4 linked regions of the Oryza sativa Japonica Group genome follow. The protein of the gene in region 4 binds, or shares a complex with, the protein of the main gene of each other region. Links are inferred from orthologs where the notes say so. Each region holds a gene or a part of one and is shown on either strand. Other genes may lie near its edges. The genes, in order: mediator of RNA polymerase II transcription subunit 16, mediator of RNA polymerase II transcription subunit 28, mediator of RNA polymerase II transcription subunit 18 and probable mediator of RNA polymerase II transcription subunit 26b.

Region 1 (4,598 bases), on a different chromosome or scaffold from region 4:
TTGAGGTCGTGAGGAAGAATACGGAATCGTGGAATTGGTTTAACTATTTTGTGACGGTTTGGGACCTTTGGGTGAATTGAGTCGGTGGCGAGGAGAGGCGGTGGGCTACGTGGGCCGTTCCATGGTGGGCTGATCACCTGCATATGGGCCGTACAAGGGCTCATGGGCCTGTTTGGCTCGTGTTTGGGCCCATCGCCTGACCTTCCCTTCTTTTGGGTTGGGTTTCTTTGGATTTATTTTTAAGATGGGCTTGTTGTTTTATCGACTTATTTGTTGCGAATAAAATCTTACCGTGCCGTATCATCAATTTCATAGGTCATGACTCTGCTGCATCTATTGGAAAAAAAACATATTTATATTGTATAAACAAAGAAAACATGCGTAGTTAGGATGGGCTATCGACGATCACGACAACAATGATAATAACCTAAATAGAGAGCTAGAGATTCTTATAAAGATTCTTATAAGACGCTTGTGATTAGTCGGCTGATGATAATCTGAAAGGGTTAAGTTTCAAGTTTCTAGCTCCAAGTTCATAATCTCAATTTTTATGTACATATATGTGCTAGCACACTACAATTTCTATATGTACATAAAAATCGAGACAATGATGTAATGAAAGTTGTGGCCTAGAGAGATATCATTTAAAGTAAAATGATGGAATAATACAATTTAATTAAAGATTCGATACATAAACAATTGATGAAATTTGTAACCGAGGGAGATAAATTTTAACTGAAATTGTCAAACTATAAATCTGACGAAAGATTCATTCAAATTCCCAAAAAGGCATACATTCACTCATTTTATCTGCCTTGGTGCCAAATTTAACGAAATTTATGTACCCAGTTTCAAATAAATAGACGACTATCCCCATTTTCTTACAAGTTACAATCCACCGCAAGACCACAACACCAAGATTACCCGCCTCCATGCCAATTTCAATGAAATTCGTGTATCCAATTTTAAATAGACAGACAACACTCTTTATTTCGTTACAAGTTAGTACATCTAGGTACTATACAAGAGTAATATTGGAGTGTGTAAAAAACTGCCGTAGATTTTTTAAGTGTAAAACTTCGAGATTAAATTATATTATAATTGAAGTATAGTTGTACTGTAACTGTATTGTAACTACGGTATAACTTATATAAAACATGTATTTAACCGTGGTTTGGCTGACTAGCACCGAGATCTTGCACATAACATGTATGATATTTTTGTAGCAATGTTATCTCTTGAATGTACAAATCTCCAGTAACCCGATGACCATAAATCTGAAAGTTTTGAGAGAAAAAGGGTGTGTTTAGTTCACGCTAAAATTAGAAGTTTGGTTGAAATTGAAACGATGTGACAGAAAAGTTAGAAGTTTGTATGTGTAGGAAAGTTTTGATGCGATGGAAAGTTAAAAATTTTTTTAAAAAAGTTTGGAACTAAACTCCACGGAACTTGCAAAAGTTTTCTAGCAATTTCGATCCAAAATTCAACGGAATTCGTACATACCCAGAGCTCACCACTCCCGAAACGCCACCAAAAGACCAAACCCACTCGTTTCCCCTCCCCCCCTCCCTCTGACTCTCTCCCCGTCGTCGTCATCGTCATCGTCGTTCGTCGTCGTCGTCTCCCCTTTCCACGGCCGCATCCCATTCCCCACCCAACCTGAAAGCGACGCCGCCGCAGCGCACACGCAGGAGGCAGCAGCAAAGCGAGGAGGGGAGGAAACCCTCCCCCCGCGACAGCAACGGGCGGTCGCTTCCAGTGACCTAAGCCTCCCCCTCCCCCCCTCGCGCGCGCTTCCCTCCCCTTCGCCTTTTTGTCTCCTCCGCCCCTTATGACCTCTTCCTCCGCCCCAAACCCTAGCCCCCTCGTCCCCACCCCCACCCCCTCTCCCCCCACCGCCAACGCCGCCGCCGCCGCCGCCGGAGCCGTGCCCGTCTCCTCGCCGACGCCGCCGCCCAAGGATCAGCAGCAGGAGGGCCAGGGGGGTGGAGGAGGAGTGGGGGATGGGGGTGGAGTGGAGGAGGTGGGCGTAGGGGGAGGCGAGGCCATGGAGGTGGATGGTGGCGCGGGAGGTGGTGGTGGGGGGGTTGGGGATGTGGAGGGGGGTGGGGGTGGTGGTGGTGCGGGGGGAGGAGGAGGTGGAGGTGGAGGTGGGCAGCAGGCGTCGCCGGCGACCGTGTTCCGGATCCGGCTCAAGCAGCCGCCCTCGAGCCTCCGCCACAAGATGCGCGTGCCCGAGCTCTGCAGGAACTTCAGGTGCGTTTCGAGATTAGTTGTGGTTTTTTTGGGGGTGTTTTTTCTTTCTGGGATTTAAATATGTTGGGGGAAGCTTAGGTGTGATGAATTTAAACCCTGATCTGTTTCAGCTTATTCATCGATTTATTGAAATGGTTTTTTTCCCCCCGAAAGAAATTTTCCTCTACTGTATTGCTTAGACCACTTGTTTTAAGCTATTTGTTAAGTTTGTCTCTCAAAATATCTAATTTATCCCTATAATATATCCATGACAATAATCCACTCAATAATCTAAATCAAACGATCTGGGTTTACTTTTTTTTTCCTCTTCAAATTTGGGTGGCGTTTCAATGATTGGGATGAACAATCTAGTGACTCAAACTTGCAGAAGCATTAGCGTGGGCATGGAATTGTGATTGCTTTGAATGATTGTATCCTGTGCAGGCTTCTACTATACTAGATCAAATACAGTTATAACATGTAGTGTCATTATTTCACATAACTAAGTTTAGTCAGGTCAAACTGGTTACTTTGTTCACCAGTTAGAAAATACCGAACGTGATAACTCCATTTTTAAAATCCACATTATTTTTTTTTGTTTAAAACTGCTTTGATCTTGTAGGATGAGGTTGCCTTGTCTGCTTTAGCCTACACTATATCGGGAACAACTAGTAACTATCTTATCTATGGTTTTTTTTTTATTGCAGTGCAGTTGCTTGGTGCGGGAAGCTCAATGCAATTGCATGCGCATCAGAGACTTGTGCACGCATACCAAGGTATACATTTTTCCATCCTTTCCCTGAAAATTTACTTTCCTCTGACCTTTAGTTATCCATAAATAAGTTTGTTCTGTTAGCTTGTCTTAGTGGGATATTCAACCATTTGGTAGAATTGTTTGCTTACAGTTTCTGGTTATGAAGGTTTCTTTGCCGTAAAACGATCTAATGTATATTTTCAGCTCTAATTCAAGCCCACCATTTTGGATTCCCATACACATTCTAAATCCAGAGAGACCAACAGAATGTTCTGTTTTCAATGTGAAAGCAGGTAATCCATGGCTAAATCTCAATTGTTTTGGTAATGTGATTACGTTATGCATGTGCAAATCACTGTCCATTGGGCATTTTATAGTCAGGTGAAGGGTGAGATTCAAACTCACTTTTGTTTATATACGAGTTTTTCTACCTCCAATCCTAACTCACTGTAATTTTGAACAGATTCTCCACGCGACTTTGTTCAATTCATTGAATGGTCTCCTCGATCATGCCCTCGTGCATTACTGGTGGCAAATTTTCATGGAAGGATTACTATATGGACACAGCCAACTAAGGTACATCTCTACCTTAAGCAAATTTCGGTATGCATATCATTTTTTTTTGTTAGTAGTACCATTGAACTTACTTTGTTAATTTGCGAAACACTCAGGATTTTCTTTTTTCATTTCAAGTCTATATACATATCATGCTGTTTTGTGTTTTTTCTCTAATACTTGTTTCTTTCTTGATATGGTGAAGGGTCCTACTAATCTTGTACGTGATGCCAGTTCCTGGCAATGTGAACACGAATGGCGTCAAGATCTTTCGGTGGTGACTAAGTGGTTGTCAGGAATTTCTCCGGTTTGTTGCCAATTTGCAAACTTACAGTCTGCTTCTCTTGTTTTTGATAATTAGCACTTTACACTTGGAATGCAAATATGCAATACGATTGACCCAGCAGTTTATACAGTCCGCTTCACAATTTAACATTCGAGATTTATATACTTTTCAGTGTCAATTGTTAATCATTATTTTTTTAAAATATAATATTTTATAAAGCAGTGACAATAGACTTGAGTTTAAACTGTTCTAAGATTTTTTCACTGGACATTTATCATAAACAATTGCAACAATTAGGTAAAAAAGATTCTGGCTCAGTTTATGTCTGAGTAAGTACTTTGATCTATTTCAAATGACACTACCTGTGTTTGATTACCCTTTTGGCCTGAAATAAGTGGATCTTAGAATCGAAGGAATATAATTACTAAGCTGTTGCCACGGCTAAATTTGTTTTGTTTCTTTGACTTTGCAGTATAGATGGCTTCCTGCAAACTCTAGTACTTCATCAAACTTGAAAACCTTTGAGGAAAAGTTCCTTACCCAGCAGCCTCAAAGTTCGGGTTGGTTAAACACATATATTACTGAGCATATATTTTTTTTGGAGGAGAAAGCAAGCATGCTTCTTTACGCTACTCTGACATATTGCTGTTTACTGCAGCTGGGTGGCCAAACATTCTATGTGTCTGTTCAGTTTTTTCATCGGGTTCTGTTCAGCTTCATTGGTCACAATGGCCTTCTCAAAACTCAGCACAACCTAGATGGTTTTCT
Region 2 (4,413 bases), about 17 Mb from region 4:
TTTTGTGCAGCTCTCTCAGCTACCTTTTGCTGGCGCACAGAAGGTCATGATGCCGGAGATAATTGTACCGAATAACATCCTCTTCGTCCAAAACCTCCCACATGAGACGACCCCTATGATGCTTCAGATGCTCTTCTGTCAGTACCCAGGGTTCAAGGAAGTCAGAATGGTTGAAGCAAAGCCTGGGATTGCTTTCGTGGAGTACGGCGACGAGGGGCAGGCTACCGCTGCCATGAACCATCTTCAGGGGTTCAAAATTACGAAAGATAACCAGATGCTTATCTCGTATGCGAAGAAGTAAATGTACTATTGACTTGCTCGATGAATGTTGTAGTCCCAAGTTTTCGCATAATCCATAGATTTTCATTGTTAGGTAGACTACACCATGACAACCATGTTAATGTACTACTGCTCAGCTGCCCGTGTGTGTTTCAGGAATGAGATGAAATTTGAACCATCTTTGCAGTCGTGAGTTCTCCTAGTTAGTTCCACTCGTGTTCCCTTGTGTAAAATATGGCAGCTTGAGACGATTTACATTTATGCTATTGCTGTTAGCCTCGTTAAAATATTTACCATCTCATAGTCATACTTGTGTAGTTGTGTCACCATGGTCACCTGACAGCAACTGTGGGATTCAATTACCATTAAATCATTAATATGTTGAAAGAAACATCTAAAATGACAAGTGAGGCAATTAGACAATTCCATTGAACACACATGTTATCATACACTCCTATAATCGGGAAAAAGATGTTGCTCCGAAAAATCTAAAAGTTTAACATGTTAGGCATGCCTAACACGATGAGATGGAGAGCACACGAGAAACTACGAACAATAATATTATGATAAACCGAACATAGCAACGAACATTAATACAGCGCAATTTGTTCGTCTTCGGCAAACTGGTCAGATCCTAAAACATTGTTGTGGTGTTTTTTTTTTCCTGGCTGGCGTACTCAAAATCTCCAAGGCATAGCCCAGCACTGGGCTACTCAGGTTGATCATCGGAAGGAGCCTGGGACATTTCATGGAAGACAGTGGTGTCACACTCTTTCGAGTTCAGTAACATGCTTTCCCAGCTGGTCCTTCAGCTCTTTCTGCCACCCTTCGATGAGCTTCTTATGTTTGTCGATGAGCTCGGACTTGGTCTTCAGCTCTTCCTCCATTATAGCAATATCCTGCAAACCGAAACTGGACATGTTAAAACATGATGACACATTATTATTTGATTATTACAGCTTGGGGACCACGCCATATAGGATTTCTCTTGATTTCTCCCATGAAGCTTATAGAGAAAAATCGATGCACAATTTTTTTTTTACAACGGTTGCAATATAACATCAATATAATTGATTTCAAAGAGAGGGTCAAATGGATTTTATACAACCAATCTAGATAGCTTTAAACTTATTGATGGGCCAAATATTAAAAACCATTGGATCTCAAGCACTCTAAAATGTTGAGCACAACGAGTACTAACACAGAAAAAAAACTTCAATTAGACATCTCAGAGAATTAGTGCTAACAATACGGGACTGATTTAGAGCTGGCCCAGTCAATTCAAGACTGTAAAAGAGACAAACTCAAGCCCTTATCTTTGAAAATTGAATATTTTTTAGACCTTTTCCCTCGCCATCCCCAAGCTCTCAGCCTCCCATGTCTGTGTACTCTGGTGTCAAATCGTTACTCTGTGCTTACCCAACCTAGGGCATGTTTGAGGGAGCTTTTGGCAGCTGCAGCTTTTCCTAAAATTAAAAGCTCACTCAAACAGTTCAGCTTTTCATCTAGATTCTGAGAAGATGTAGTTAAAGAATACAGAAAATAAACTAGAAACAAGAAACCTAACTTTCCAGCTTCTTCATATTCTCATAAACTGACTACCAACCAATTGCTTCTCAAAATCTTAAGCTCCCCCAAACAAGGTCCTAGTTCTACCTACAGGCTAATTTGCTAATCACAAAGTTCTAATTTGCTAATCATTTCGAAGTCAAGGAGTACCTTTCGAAGCAAAGTTGTTCCGAAAGCAATGCAATGTACCTTTCGAAGCATTTCTTCTGTCGACGGTCGGTCCTCGCGCTGCAGGCTGATGAAGTAAGACTGGAGCTTCTTCGCAGCCTCCATGAAATCCCTCGCGTGCCTCTCAACATCAACTGTTCCACATTATAACAACCACAACACCTTAGAATCCCTATTTTGCTAACCAGCAACAAAGCAAAAGAATCCAATTTCTACATCGACAGTTGAGCACACAGATGTAGAACGCTCAAATGCCACCCTCTCAATCTCATCTCAGCACCCGCGAGACGCCCGCGTACCAACAGCGCAAGTAAAAAGAAAAAATAACTTCGCCACATTTTGCTAGAGCACGAGGGGCTTCCTAATCCCCACCTCGTAGGCAAAACAGCGAACACCTGGCGGGCGGGCGAGTCGAACCAAACCAGCCGCGCCAAATCTTGGCCGGGGGAAGCGCAAGAACGACGGGGAAGGGAGGCTGCAGAGGGAGGAGAGAGGGGGAGCGGCGGGGTCAGTCTCAGTGAGTCCGACGTACTCTGGTGGGAGGATTGGAGGGAGCGGTCGACGGCCTGGAGCTCGCGCGCGGGGAGGCAGGGCAGCAGCGCCGCCTCCAGCGCCGCCACGCAGGCCATCATGTCGTCGCGCGCGCTCTCCCCGGGCCCCTGCTGCTGCTGCTGCGCCGCCTGCGGCGGCGTCTGCGCCGGCGACTGCGACGGCGGCTCGGCCATGAGAGCGAGAGACGAGAGAGAGAGAGGTGGGGATCGCAAAATTGCAATGAAACCCTTCTTCCAAAAACTACTAGAAAATGGGTGCGCCTGGCGCACCTACTAAGGCTGTGTTCAGAGGAGGGGCTTGGGAACCCCTCCTCCTGCCACGCAAAACGAAGTTTATTTTATTGCATGATTAATTAAGTATTATCTAATTTTATTTTAAAAAATAGATTAATATGATTTTTTTAAACAACTTCTATATATAAAGTTTTTTTATAAATCACACCGTTTAGCAGTTTGAAAAGCGTACACGTGGAAAACAAGATAGGTGGGTTGGGAAAATGGGGGGAAGAACATAGCTTAAAAGTACCCTGTAAATATTTATACCTTTGTTAGGATGTATAAATGTTTTAGAGTTATTTAGACTTAGTTTGATTTATTAGATATATAGATATATATACATATATATATATATATACATATATATATATATATATATAATGATATTTATGATATTTCTATTTGGAAAATAAATCTGGAATTCTATTTGGGAAAAATTCTAGGTCTATAAATATTTTTTTCTAAGTTAATTGTCTGAGTTTGAATAAAATGCACCAATATATAAAATAATAAATAAATGCAATAAAGACATATTTCATGATGAATCTAATTAAACTAATTTGGTGTTACAGATTTTGTATTTTTTTTTATAAAGCCAACCGGTGTTAGAGAAGTTTAACTGAAAGATAAACTTAGATTACAATATGAACATATGGAGTCAGTGAATTTCCGTTGTATTTTAGAAAAAAGAAACATGAAATGCTAATATTTTTTTTCCTATGCATATTGTTTAAGTCCCATTTATCTTTATGTTTGTGTATTTAATCTTGTGTTAAACATCAAATATGGCAACATATATTGCTTGACTTCGTGACTTTCTGATTTTTTTACTGTAGCATAAAAGTGAACACACTTCTTTGCTGCTCGACACGTATGCATGCGGTTGTCATAAATACATCTAATTAATCGATCAGTGATAGTCACAATTAACTTAATGTTATCGGTAGATATTTCTTTTATTGATGTAATATACTCCTTAGTTGATTATAAGTTATAGCAGAATCTAATATAGCATTAGGTTAGGTTGGTGCCATTTTGGGGAGTACGACCGATGTACCCAGTCGGCTAGTCAATTGGTCTAATCTATACTTCTTCAAAAAAAAAAACGGAGATATGTCATATAGTGAATATGTCATCATACCTACCCTCATTGTAAATTTTGTAAGTTGCCCCTTAAATTTCTTAATATTTAAAAGATCAAATCTAAATTGATAGTCAAATAAAAAAATGATTAGGTAGTGTTTGAATCTCCTGAAGATGAAGATTAAGTGTTTCACGCAAAACGAGGTGATAATAACATGTGATTAATTAAATTTTAATTATTACAAATTTGAAAAATGAATTAATCTGATATTTTAGAACAACTTTCATATAGAAAGTTTTCGTACGAAACACACTGTTTAGCTGTTTGAAAAGTGTGCCACGAGTATCTAAAATTTTATCCTCAGATTGCATAAGAAATGAACATGGCCTAAGATGAATATTCCCTATAGCAAAAAGATGGTTAACATATTAATACATTTTTTTATCTATAGCAAAACACAAACATTTAGCTAGGTGTTCGAAGACC
Region 3 (4,730 bases), on a different chromosome or scaffold from region 4:
AGGACATCATTTGAAACATTTTAAAAGAACCAATGGCAATTCAAATACAGAATAGTAGGTCACGTAAACATGTATCTACCACCATAGATTAAACTCTGCACTTTTTTCCCTAGAAAAATTTTCATCCATCATAATACATTAAAAAAATATAGCCAAAATGTTGACACATCCAAGCAGATAATAGTAAAGCGTGCCTGGATTGTGAAAATAATGTATTAGTATCAGAAAAATGTGTATCCATAATTTCTGAGTTACTACTAGGCAAACATGAAGCCTCCATATCAATTACTATACTGAACATTTTATGCCTTCCTTCCCTTAGTCATTTAAGCCATCTGCATTCTTCTAAATCACTGCAACAACAATATTTATATAGATAGGCAACACAGCAAGTTGAGCTGTTAAAATGCACAGAAGTAAGACAATAATGAGTATCATATCATACTTTTCATTCGTTCTCCAGAATGCCCCAGCATTGTCGATAACCATCTTGAGCAACTCAAGAGACAACACCTTCCCGCGCAGCAGGACCTGATCTTCGGGATTATCCGGCGTCGAGAACTTCATGGACAGCTTGCACAGGTTCTTGAACAGTGTCAACCCATCCTCCCTGATCTTGCTCATGACAACATCCTCCTTCCCATCCGTCTCGGCCGGCTCAACCGGGGACCCCGGCTCAGGGACATCGCTTCCCTCCATCGTCTCGTTTATGAAGCTCTGCGCCGCATGGACAATGCTGGAGTCATTCAGGTTGCGGTCAGACATGTCCATCATGTCGGTGATCGACACCGTGCGCACGCGCACATCCATGGAGTCCACCTCCACGCGCGCGAACACGATCACCAGCACCTGCGCCAGCGCCAGCTTAGCGCAGAGCTGGTTGGCGCCGCTGCTGCTACTGAGGTATATGTTGTAGCAGGTCTTGAGCATCTGGCCGAGCCCTTCCCCGCGGATGGCGACGGAGGGGCACCGCGCGGCGGCCACGAGGACGCGGAGGGTGGAGAGCTCCATGGCGTCGTCGGCGAGCGCGCCGCAGGAGAGCACGGCGGCGAGCAGCTTGGAGGACGGGGAGTCGTCGTCGCCGCCGCCACCGCCGAGATCACCGACGAGGAGGCGGTGGTAGAGCAACTTGGCGACGCAGTCGAGCGCCGGGTCGGCGACCTTGGGGGACGCCGACTCGAGCGCGAGGAGGAGCGCGTGGATGCACGCGTCCGCGGCGGCCGCCGGCAACCCGAGCAGCAGCGACGGCGGCGACGGCGCCGACGCCGACGCGTACGCCGACGAGGAGAGCAGGTCGAGCGCCGCCTTGGCGGCCGCCACGAGGCCCGAGTGCTTCCGCCACGCCGCGTTCTTGATGATCCGGTCCAGCGCAGGGCCCAGCACCCGCCCCGACGGCGACGCGCCGCCGATTGCCCCCGCCGGCGAGGCCATAGTTAGCCGTCCACGCAGACTCTCACGCGCTCTACGCGGTGGTCGTCGCCGTCGCCGTCGCGGCCATTGGATCTGAGACCTCGAGACGAGGAGGAGGTGGAAGAAAATGGGAATTCGAGAGGAAGACGAGACGAGCGCGTGGGGGAGGAAGAGGAAGAGGAGAAGTCAGAGGAAGGGTATGACTGAAATTTCAGATTCTTCCAGGGGCCTAGATGCAAAAACGCCGCGACCCTTCGCGCGGGGGTGAGGCATTTTATCACTTTACCCCCCTCGGTTTCTCGGAATTCTTTCTTCTCGTCTCCATCGCTGCAGGAGGAGGAGGCGGCGGAGGACGGCGAGCGGTCAGTGGCGGAGAGGGGAGTGTTCGGGGACGCGGGGTTTGCGAGGTGGGGGGAGCTCTTGCGCCTCGGATCGGCTCACTTCCCGACGCCTCAGCCCCCGCCGCGCCGCGGATTATTGCTGTTAGGTTAAAGGTGGGGGTGAATTTTTGTTGCTGCGAGGTAGCTGTTCGACGAAATTCCGCAGCGTGGTTTCAGGGTTTGTCTCTCTTGCAGGGATTGTGGTAGCGAGAAGCGGTGGGGTTGATGGAGTGCGTGGTGCAGGGGATCATCGAGACCCAGGTTATTGTTCTTCTTTCTCACTTCGCCAGTAGACTTGTATGAGTGGTGACTGTGTGAGCGGTTGTTGAAGTGAACGGTAGTTTCTTCCGAGAATGAGTGATCTGTAGCTATGCAACGATGCATTTTTGTTCATATGAAACTGATTTGTCTGTTTATGCTGTAAAACATGACCAATTTGAACTTTTACCCGGAAAATCATACATGGCCCGTAACATAAGCCGGAGTGATGGTAGATGTGATGTTCTTCATGGATTCTTGATTTTTGTATGATGGTAGGCCTTTCTGGGAAATCGGTACTAGTCAAGTTTGCTGATCTGACATTTGCGCTCCTTACTTGTATGTTGTATCTAGAATTCTGAATTTTATTTAATTTTTGGCATAAGGTTATTTGGCCTTTCGCTTTGTAGTAACCTTATCCAAAGGAGTTGGAATGTAGAATTTCGACGTTTACTAAATGAACTTTCTATCACTTGATTTAAGATAGCATTTTTGTTGTTGGAGGTGTCAATTGCCTGAAAACAGACCTCTGTAAATGTAATTGTGATAAAACCTTTTGAAAGGTAACACTTAAGCTATCCCAGGTAGCAAATCTATCAACTGCATAGCCCCAATGTCAAATTACATCTCAATAGTCCTACTTAGGAACAAAGTTATTTTTTCACTCCATATAGCATGAAGTAGTATTGGAACTTTATGTCCATAGAGAATTTCTTTTTTCTTGAACGAAACACATCAGGGAATAGAGAATAATAATTCATGCCAGCATTAAGACTTTGTCGTCGATCCATTGTCTCTATATGACCTTTTGTTAGTCTCTTATAGCTTCCTCTTGTCAGCATATCAACACTTCCCTTCAGGATAATAAAAAAAAAGTATACAGTTGATCATGCTGACCACTATATGGTCAACCATGTTTCTCCACTCTGAGGGCACTACTTCTGCCACTTGCAGACTTTTTTTGATTCTCTTTTCAATATGTTGATATGGTTCTATTTTATATACAATTGGAGGAATCATATCACTTATATGGTTTGTAATTTTACAATAAAGGGATTAATTTATATACACATGTCAATGTCTTGTGCTTAGAACACCATTTAACCTTTTTTAGTTTTCATTGCTTTGACATCAGTGTAACTTTTGGTTGATCTTCTTGTTATGCAGCATGTTGATGCTCTTGAGGTTCTTCTCCAGGGCCTCTCTGGTGTCCCAAAAGAACGTGTCAGAGTGCATGAGCTCTGTCTTAAAAGTGGGCCAAATCTAGGTCAGTTTGCAACTTTTTCATTATTCTGATCATATGCCATTGTTACTCATATACATCTTCCAATCATACAGGAGTTGTCCCATCAGAGGTTCGTTTATTGTGTGACTTAGCTCAGTCCACGCCATCCTGGTAACTTTTCTTTCAGCTGCTAAAATTTACATTTTTGTGATATTTGATGATATTCTGAATCCAGTAGTATTCATGTAGGACCATAAGACATGTTGGAGGTGCCATGAGAGGTGCTGGTGCAGAGCAAATCTCAGTCCTTGTGCGGTCAATTGTAGAGAGCAAAGCCAGCAACAATGTATTGCGTTACTTCTACGGTATAGGGTACAAGTTAGATCATGAAGTTCTGAAGGGAGGATTTGCATTTCGTTTCCACCGAGGTGCCCAGATAACTGTGACCGTTACCTCTGTTAGCAAGATGACAAAACTCCATGCTACCAACGAAGCTGTGCCAATCACTCCTGCAATACAGCTAGTGGAAATCACGGCCCCTGCTGCTGCTGACAATTACAACGATGTCGTTTCAGCCGTCACTTCGTTCTGTGAATATCTAGCACCGTAAGTAACTAAGTGTTCCTTAGCTATCTCAAGATTATTACTAGACTGGCATAAACGAATTTTCTCACTTTTGACTGCAAAACACACTGCAGGCTTCTGCATCTCTCTAAACCAGGCAATTCGACTGGAATCGTCCCGACTGCAGGCGCTGCTGCCGCCTCACTCATGTCAAGTGGTGGTGGTGGTGGTGGTAAAACGTTGTGATCGGTCATATGTGTTGGCTGCAATGCCATGATGATCTCCATTGACCATCCCACTTAAAACATTGTTGCCATCTTTAGTTCTGTAACTTTTAGTCAGTAGCACCATGGTTTTTCTTGTAATGACATGCTAAATGCTGCCTACCTTGCTTTGGAGACTGGTAAATGAACACTGATCATTGCTTGCTTTTACTGAAGAGTGGAAACTGAATGCTGGGAAAGCTTGACGATATTGGTGGTAGACTGATAGCTGGAGTTTGTCATGATCCTGACAATATATTTGATGGTAGCTTTGTTTACTTTAATTTAGGTCACATACGTGGTAAGGATCTCATGGTTTGGGACGTTCAATTGCCCAGTAGTTTTTCTCTAGTTAATTAGTGTGCATCAAACTATTTTCTCTAGTTATTATGTAAGTCTAGCAGTCAAGTTACCAGAAATCAGAATACACTGCATGCATTACTTGCATAGTCAACAAAGTATCTCAATGACAACTGATCTTCCTAAAAGTTGCTGCAAAACGAAACAAAGCCGGAGTAACTAGAGAGGAGGGGAGAGAGCTAGGTTGCTGACAACTTGACGAGATCAACTCATCCTGATGCTCAGTGCAGGATGAAGTGCCATCTCCTCCTGCTCTTCCAGCTCCAGCTC
Region 4 (4,832 bases):
GAGCCTCCTCTTTGCTGCTTCCAGCCTACTATTGCTTTCCAAACCATCATAGATCTTTGGCTTTGCCGACTCTAGCTTGACTCCTGCTGAAGGTTGTGCAGGAAGCCTCGATTTCTAGAACCAAAGTTCAGATATTTAAGTCATGATGTTCTGAGGATTATCATACTATTAGGCCTTAGTAATAGCATATATACTTACATCCACATGGCTCGCTGCAGGTTTTCTTTCAACAGCAACCTGCTCTCGAGCCAGTCTAGATTTCATCTCAACAAAGGGCTTCTGCTGAGGAGCTGCCCTTAATGGTCTCCCAGGTCCAGAATCAGAACTCAAGGGCTTAGATTGCTTGTGAAGCATGGCCTGCTGTTTGACTTGCAAACTTGAATTTTGAGGGGTTTGTGGGTTAGCCTGCCTCATTGATGGCTCTTGCCTTGCCAATTCCGGCCTCCTGGATTGAACTTTTTCAACAGCTCCCATGTTACGGGGAGGCTCTTGCTTTGTCAAAGCTGGATGGCTTGTAGGCCTCCTGCCATAATTTTCTCTCTTATTTCCAAGGCTCCCATCATTGTTATGTCTCAAGTCTGTCATAAAATGTATAACTTGAATTATTATAGTGCACAGAAAAAAAAGGGAAACTATGTAATTTGAGTTGTTGTACTTACTTCCATCTTCATCCATTTCATCAAAGAACTTTAGGTCAGGAAGATGAAGCAGAAAGAAAAACAACAATGCAAAGTTAGAATTGTGTTCTGGACCAAAACAATCCAGATACCAGGAACAAACAAAAATTAGTACCTCAGAGAGTTGAATAGCAGTAGTCTGGGTTGCAAAGAACGCCCCTTCATCCAGAGGTGGAGAAGGAAGCCCTTCATCATCAGCATCATCGACAACAGATGTTTTTGAAGAGCCCGGGGAGTTGTCTACAGATCAAAAGATCCATTACATGTTAAGAGGTGAACATTCACTTACAAATTGATGACTCATACGCGATATGAAACAAAATAACTTTTATTACCTGTAAGGGCAACATTAGTGGTGCTGACCCACTCATCAACCAAAATTTTCCAACCTCTGAAAAAAAAATGTTTTAAGACGTCAACAATGTTTCCAAAATTGGTTAATAACCACACTACAAATAAGGTAAATAATTCACTCAAGTAGTACAAAGACTGGAGAATACAGAAGCTAAATCAGTAGACTCGTATCATGTTTTCAGAAACTTATAGGTACAGTAGAGTATCAATTTGCTTCAGCAAGTTCTCTAAATTAAAAGCTAGATCAGCCCTAGAGAATGAAATTTAGTGCAAGCATATTGAACTTACTCAATGAGAGTGCGCACAAGGTGACGAATTTGCTGCGAGTTGTGCTTCCGCAGCCCATTAACAGCCCTCCCAATCTCAGTAGCCTACAACAAACAACATCGGAGATTAGCAAACCAAACAGAACCACTATGCGTCACTCCGCATAGCTCATATGCGCTATCCAACACAGTACCTTCAGCGTGGAAACGGACAATTGCATCAGCTGCAGCCTCCTCAGTGATTCGAACAAAGTAGCATCCGACTGCGAAAACCACAGTTGAGATCAAATGTTAAGTCCCTGTTGAGGAATGGCACAACTCTTACTCATGGAAGAACTGAAAGCTGGGAATAGTTCATCATACATGATCTTCCTTGTGCAAGAAGAGGTCCTTGATGCGGAGAACCTCGCCGACGACCTGTGACTCCTCGTCGATCTCGTTGGTGAGTGCCTCAAGCTCCACAGCCTCGGGGTCCAGCTCTTGTTCTTCGTCCTCTTCAGCCGGCGCCGCCTCCTGCTCCTCCTCTTCCTCCTCGTCGTCATCATCGTAGTTGTGACCGTAGTTGCTCGCCGCGGCGCGGCGGAGGCGCTCGTCGTCGGAGTCAGAGTCAGAGTCGTCATCGACGTCGTCGCGGCGGCCGCCGCCGCCGCCGAGGGCGCCGTTGCTGCTGCTGTCCACCTTGCTCTGCTTCTCGGGGACGCGGCGCACGCTGCCCTTGTCCTCCTCCACGGGGGTGGCCGGGGTCGGGGTGGCGGCGCTGCCGCACCCGTGGTGGCAGGGCGGGGCGCGCGGCGCGGTGAAGAGGATCTCGCAGATGCGGTCGCGGCGGCGCAGGAGCTCCTGCGGCGCGTCGGCGGCGGCGACGAGGATGGCGTTCTCGATCACGTCGCAGATTCCGGCGGAGCCGGCCGCCCCGCGGAGGAGCTCGCGCCACCGATCCAGCCGGTCGGCCATCGCCGCCGCGGCCACCCGAGATCGGGCTCCCCCCACCTCCACCTCCACCCCCACGACTCCGATGGCTCCCCTGGCACCACCAAGAATCGATGCCCTCTCTCGATCACCTCCTCCTCCTCCTCCTCACAATCTTGAAATTTCTTTTTCCCCTTATCAGATTACGTTGCACCAAAAGAATCTAATCCAACCCGATCGCGAATCAGATGCCCCCCACCGAGGGAATCCCCCAACCGGGAAAGCGAAATTCTCCCGAGACAGCGAAAAATCAATCTAACGAACACCGCTGCCTCTCCTCAACGCCAAGAACGAATCAATCAAGAAGAGAAAACCCCAAAAAAAAAAAACAAATCAATCCTCACACCACCCAAACCCAATCTCCCCTCCCTTCCTTTGCTTCACCCCCACGTCCACGTTACTTGACGATTTCAACCCAACAAACAAAACAGCTCCTAACCAAATCTTATCTGTGCCGTCGCCGCCGCAGGAGGAGGAAGACGACGACGACGAGGGGGAGAGGGAATGCGGGGAGGGGGGTTGGATAGGGACGCGGCGGATGGCGAGGCACACGCAACGCAAAAACGAGAGCCCACGAGAACTACGCAAGCTCGACTCTACCAAACAACAACAACTACTCCTCCTCCTAATTCCCCCGCACGCACACCACCACCACCACCATGGCCTCCTAGTGGTAACAACAAATCTCGCGTCTCCCTTTCCCAACTCCTTCCGTTCGTCTCGTTCTCTCTCTCGCGCAACGGAGGTCGCAGCTTTTCTCGGTCTAGGACTTTCCGGGGGGGCCCTTTTTTTTACCGGGTTTGGGGACACAGCCACACAGGGCGAGGTCACTACGGTTTTGGAGAGGGAGGCGGCCTCGTGGCTGTTTCTCGGCTTTGACCCTGTCGAGTTGTTGGTGGGATGCAGGTCCTCTCATGCAGTAGGCTCCCTGACATGTGAGCCCTATAGCCCCTCGGGCCCACATATTAGTGAGCAGTACGGCACATGCAGTACTGGAGAGGATCTCAACTGTTGTTGGTGGGAGTGGGACTAGTACTACTCTTTCCTGTAGTGTTTGGTTGGTAATAGTAGCATTCGTTTTTTGTTTATTGGGCTAATGATTCCCGTTTGATATCCACTTAATTCAAGTTTAGTTTTCAAACTTGGGTAGGTGAGCATCATCTACCATAATATCACTGTTATTATATAATAGGATCATCCTCTTATTTGTTTCATATATAAGTGTCTATAGTATGTGAACCAGTTGTATGCACGTACCCACCTCCATCCCAAAAGAAAAACTCAACTTACGAAGGATTGTCCATTTTTAGATGAATAGAGTACTCTCTCAATTCTATAAAAGACTAAATTAGTACGAAATATGATATATTTTAATACTATAAATCTGAATAGACGTTCAACACTATGTTATTTTTTTTATGGAACCAAGAAAATACGTGCATGCAACCGTAGCCGCCGTAGGCCACTCAAATTTTAAAAAGTAAACTTGGATTGTATCTATATAAATATATTTGTGGTATTAGAATGTGTCACGTTTCGGTAATAGGGTGGTTTTTTTATGGAATGGAGAATGTGCTTTAGGAGTACTATTAATTGTTGAGGCCCAATGGACTATTTTTGGCATCATTTTCGAAACATGGTGCGAGGAAATAGTATTGGATTAGTAAATGCCAATCGATGGTTTGATATAGTATAGCACAGTAGTACACCGTAGGATCAAAGAAATATTTATGCTCTGTATAGCTTCTTCTTTTTTGAATAGAAAAAGAATGGAGTACTTTTAGCATCCTTTTCAAAACAAGGTGCTAATGTAGTAGCGAAATCTTGGATTAGTAAATGGCGATCAAGATTGATTAGCAATATACGCTGTATCATCAAAGAAAATATTTAGGCGGCAAATACTCCTTTCTATTTATAAAAAACTGAGCTATCTATTAACAGTGAAATTTGATAATCGACAAAGGCGTCATCGGCTTAGAATCATTATCGGCTGTAGCATCTCGGAATCAGCCGATGAGAGTTATCAAGTCACCAATAGTCGAATTCCTGCTATATTCGGTTAAGGAAATCAATCTACTAAAGGAAGCTTATCTCTAAGTGACCGAGTTTAAAGAGGATGCGGCATGGCAGTTTATCTATTAATTAGGAATAGTTTGTTAGTTTCCTTTTTATCTTTAGAAAAGTGTGTTTAGTGTCCGATAAGGACTTTATATTTTCCTTTTATCTTTAGGTCTGTGTACACTATCATTAGTAGAGTAGAGTACTCTATGTTTATTAGTGTAAAATTCCTAACAAGTAATCAACCGTTTCATTTAATCAGGTGATAGTTATGTCTTATAGAAAATTGACTCAGTTATAGCGTGCCACATTTAGAAAAGTTTACTAACGCTTTTTTTCCTAAAGTACTTTCTTTTACTCCCACTAACGGTTGATATATATGGTCCACGGTTTGTTTTCTTTTTTGTTTTTTCACCCGGATTTATGCGGTTGTTTCCAAGAAAACCCAGACACTCGCATCTCGTTGGCTGCGCTGCTCAGCGGATGGATACCCGACTCGAGAGTGACA

Evidence for each region.
Region 1: probable mediator of RNA polymerase II transcription subunit 26b (region 4) and mediator of RNA polymerase II transcription subunit 16 share a complex: the UniProt entries of both Arabidopsis thaliana proteins name them as parts of the mediator complex. The link is inferred for Oryza sativa Japonica Group from reciprocal best matches to the Arabidopsis thaliana genes AT5G05140 and SFR6.
Region 2: probable mediator of RNA polymerase II transcription subunit 26b (region 4) and mediator of RNA polymerase II transcription subunit 28 share a complex: the UniProt entries of both Arabidopsis thaliana proteins name them as parts of the mediator complex. The link is inferred for Oryza sativa Japonica Group from reciprocal best matches to the Arabidopsis thaliana genes AT5G05140 and AT3G52860.
Region 3: probable mediator of RNA polymerase II transcription subunit 26b (region 4) and mediator of RNA polymerase II transcription subunit 18 share a complex: the UniProt entries of both Arabidopsis thaliana proteins name them as parts of the mediator complex. The link is inferred for Oryza sativa Japonica Group from reciprocal best matches to the Arabidopsis thaliana genes AT5G05140 and AT2G22370.

Annotation. Positions count from the first base shown.
Region 1 is NC_089044.1:19,706,913-19,711,510, forward strand, and holds the start of mediator of RNA polymerase II transcription subunit 16, read left to right. Parts: upstream 1-1,573; 5' UTR 1,574-1,831; coding exon 1,832-2,256; intron 2,257-2,942; coding exon 2,943-3,011; intron 3,012-3,193; coding exon 3,194-3,282; intron 3,283-3,452; coding exon 3,453-3,565; intron 3,566-3,749; coding exon 3,750-3,851; intron 3,852-4,302; coding exon 4,303-4,390; intron 4,391-4,488; coding exon 4,489-4,598. UniProt on the Arabidopsis thaliana protein: Component of the Mediator complex, a coactivator involved in the regulated transcription of nearly all RNA polymerase II-dependent genes.
Region 2 is NC_089039.1:3,232,128-3,236,540, forward strand, and holds mediator of RNA polymerase II transcription subunit 28, read right to left. Parts: upstream 2,814-4,413; 5' UTR 2,742-2,813; coding exon 2,549-2,741; intron 2,151-2,548; coding exon 2,038-2,150; intron 1,179-2,037; coding exon 1,044-1,178; 3' UTR 687-1,043; downstream 1-686. Other genes in the region: U1 small nuclear ribonucleoprotein A, read left to right, coding at 11-301. UniProt on the Arabidopsis thaliana protein: Component of the Mediator complex, a coactivator involved in the regulated transcription of nearly all RNA polymerase II-dependent genes.
Region 3 is NC_089036.1:5,237,650-5,242,379, forward strand, and holds mediator of RNA polymerase II transcription subunit 18, read left to right. Parts: upstream 1-1,711; 5' UTR 1,712-1,904; intron 1,905-1,985; 5' UTR 1,986-2,015; coding exon 2,016-2,051; intron 2,052-3,215; coding exon 3,216-3,315; intron 3,316-3,386; coding exon 3,387-3,444; intron 3,445-3,522; coding exon 3,523-3,879; intron 3,880-3,971; coding exon 3,972-4,083; 3' UTR 4,084-4,271; downstream 4,272-4,730. Other genes in the region: brefeldin A-inhibited guanine nucleotide-exchange protein 1, read right to left, coding at 446-1,431. UniProt on the Arabidopsis thaliana protein: Component of the Mediator complex, a coactivator involved in the regulated transcription of nearly all RNA polymerase II-dependent genes.
Region 4 is NC_089039.1:20,346,985-20,351,816, forward strand, and holds the start of probable mediator of RNA polymerase II transcription subunit 26b, read right to left. Parts: upstream 3,077-4,832; 5' UTR 2,252-3,076; coding exon 1,661-2,251; intron 1,561-1,660; coding exon 1,492-1,560; intron 1,403-1,491; coding exon 1,320-1,402; intron 1,069-1,319; coding exon 1,013-1,068; intron 918-1,012; coding exon 793-917; intron 688-792; coding exon 660-687; intron 579-659; coding exon 199-578; intron 115-198; coding exon 1-114. UniProt on the Arabidopsis thaliana protein: Component of the Mediator complex, a coactivator involved in the regulated transcription of nearly all RNA polymerase II-dependent genes.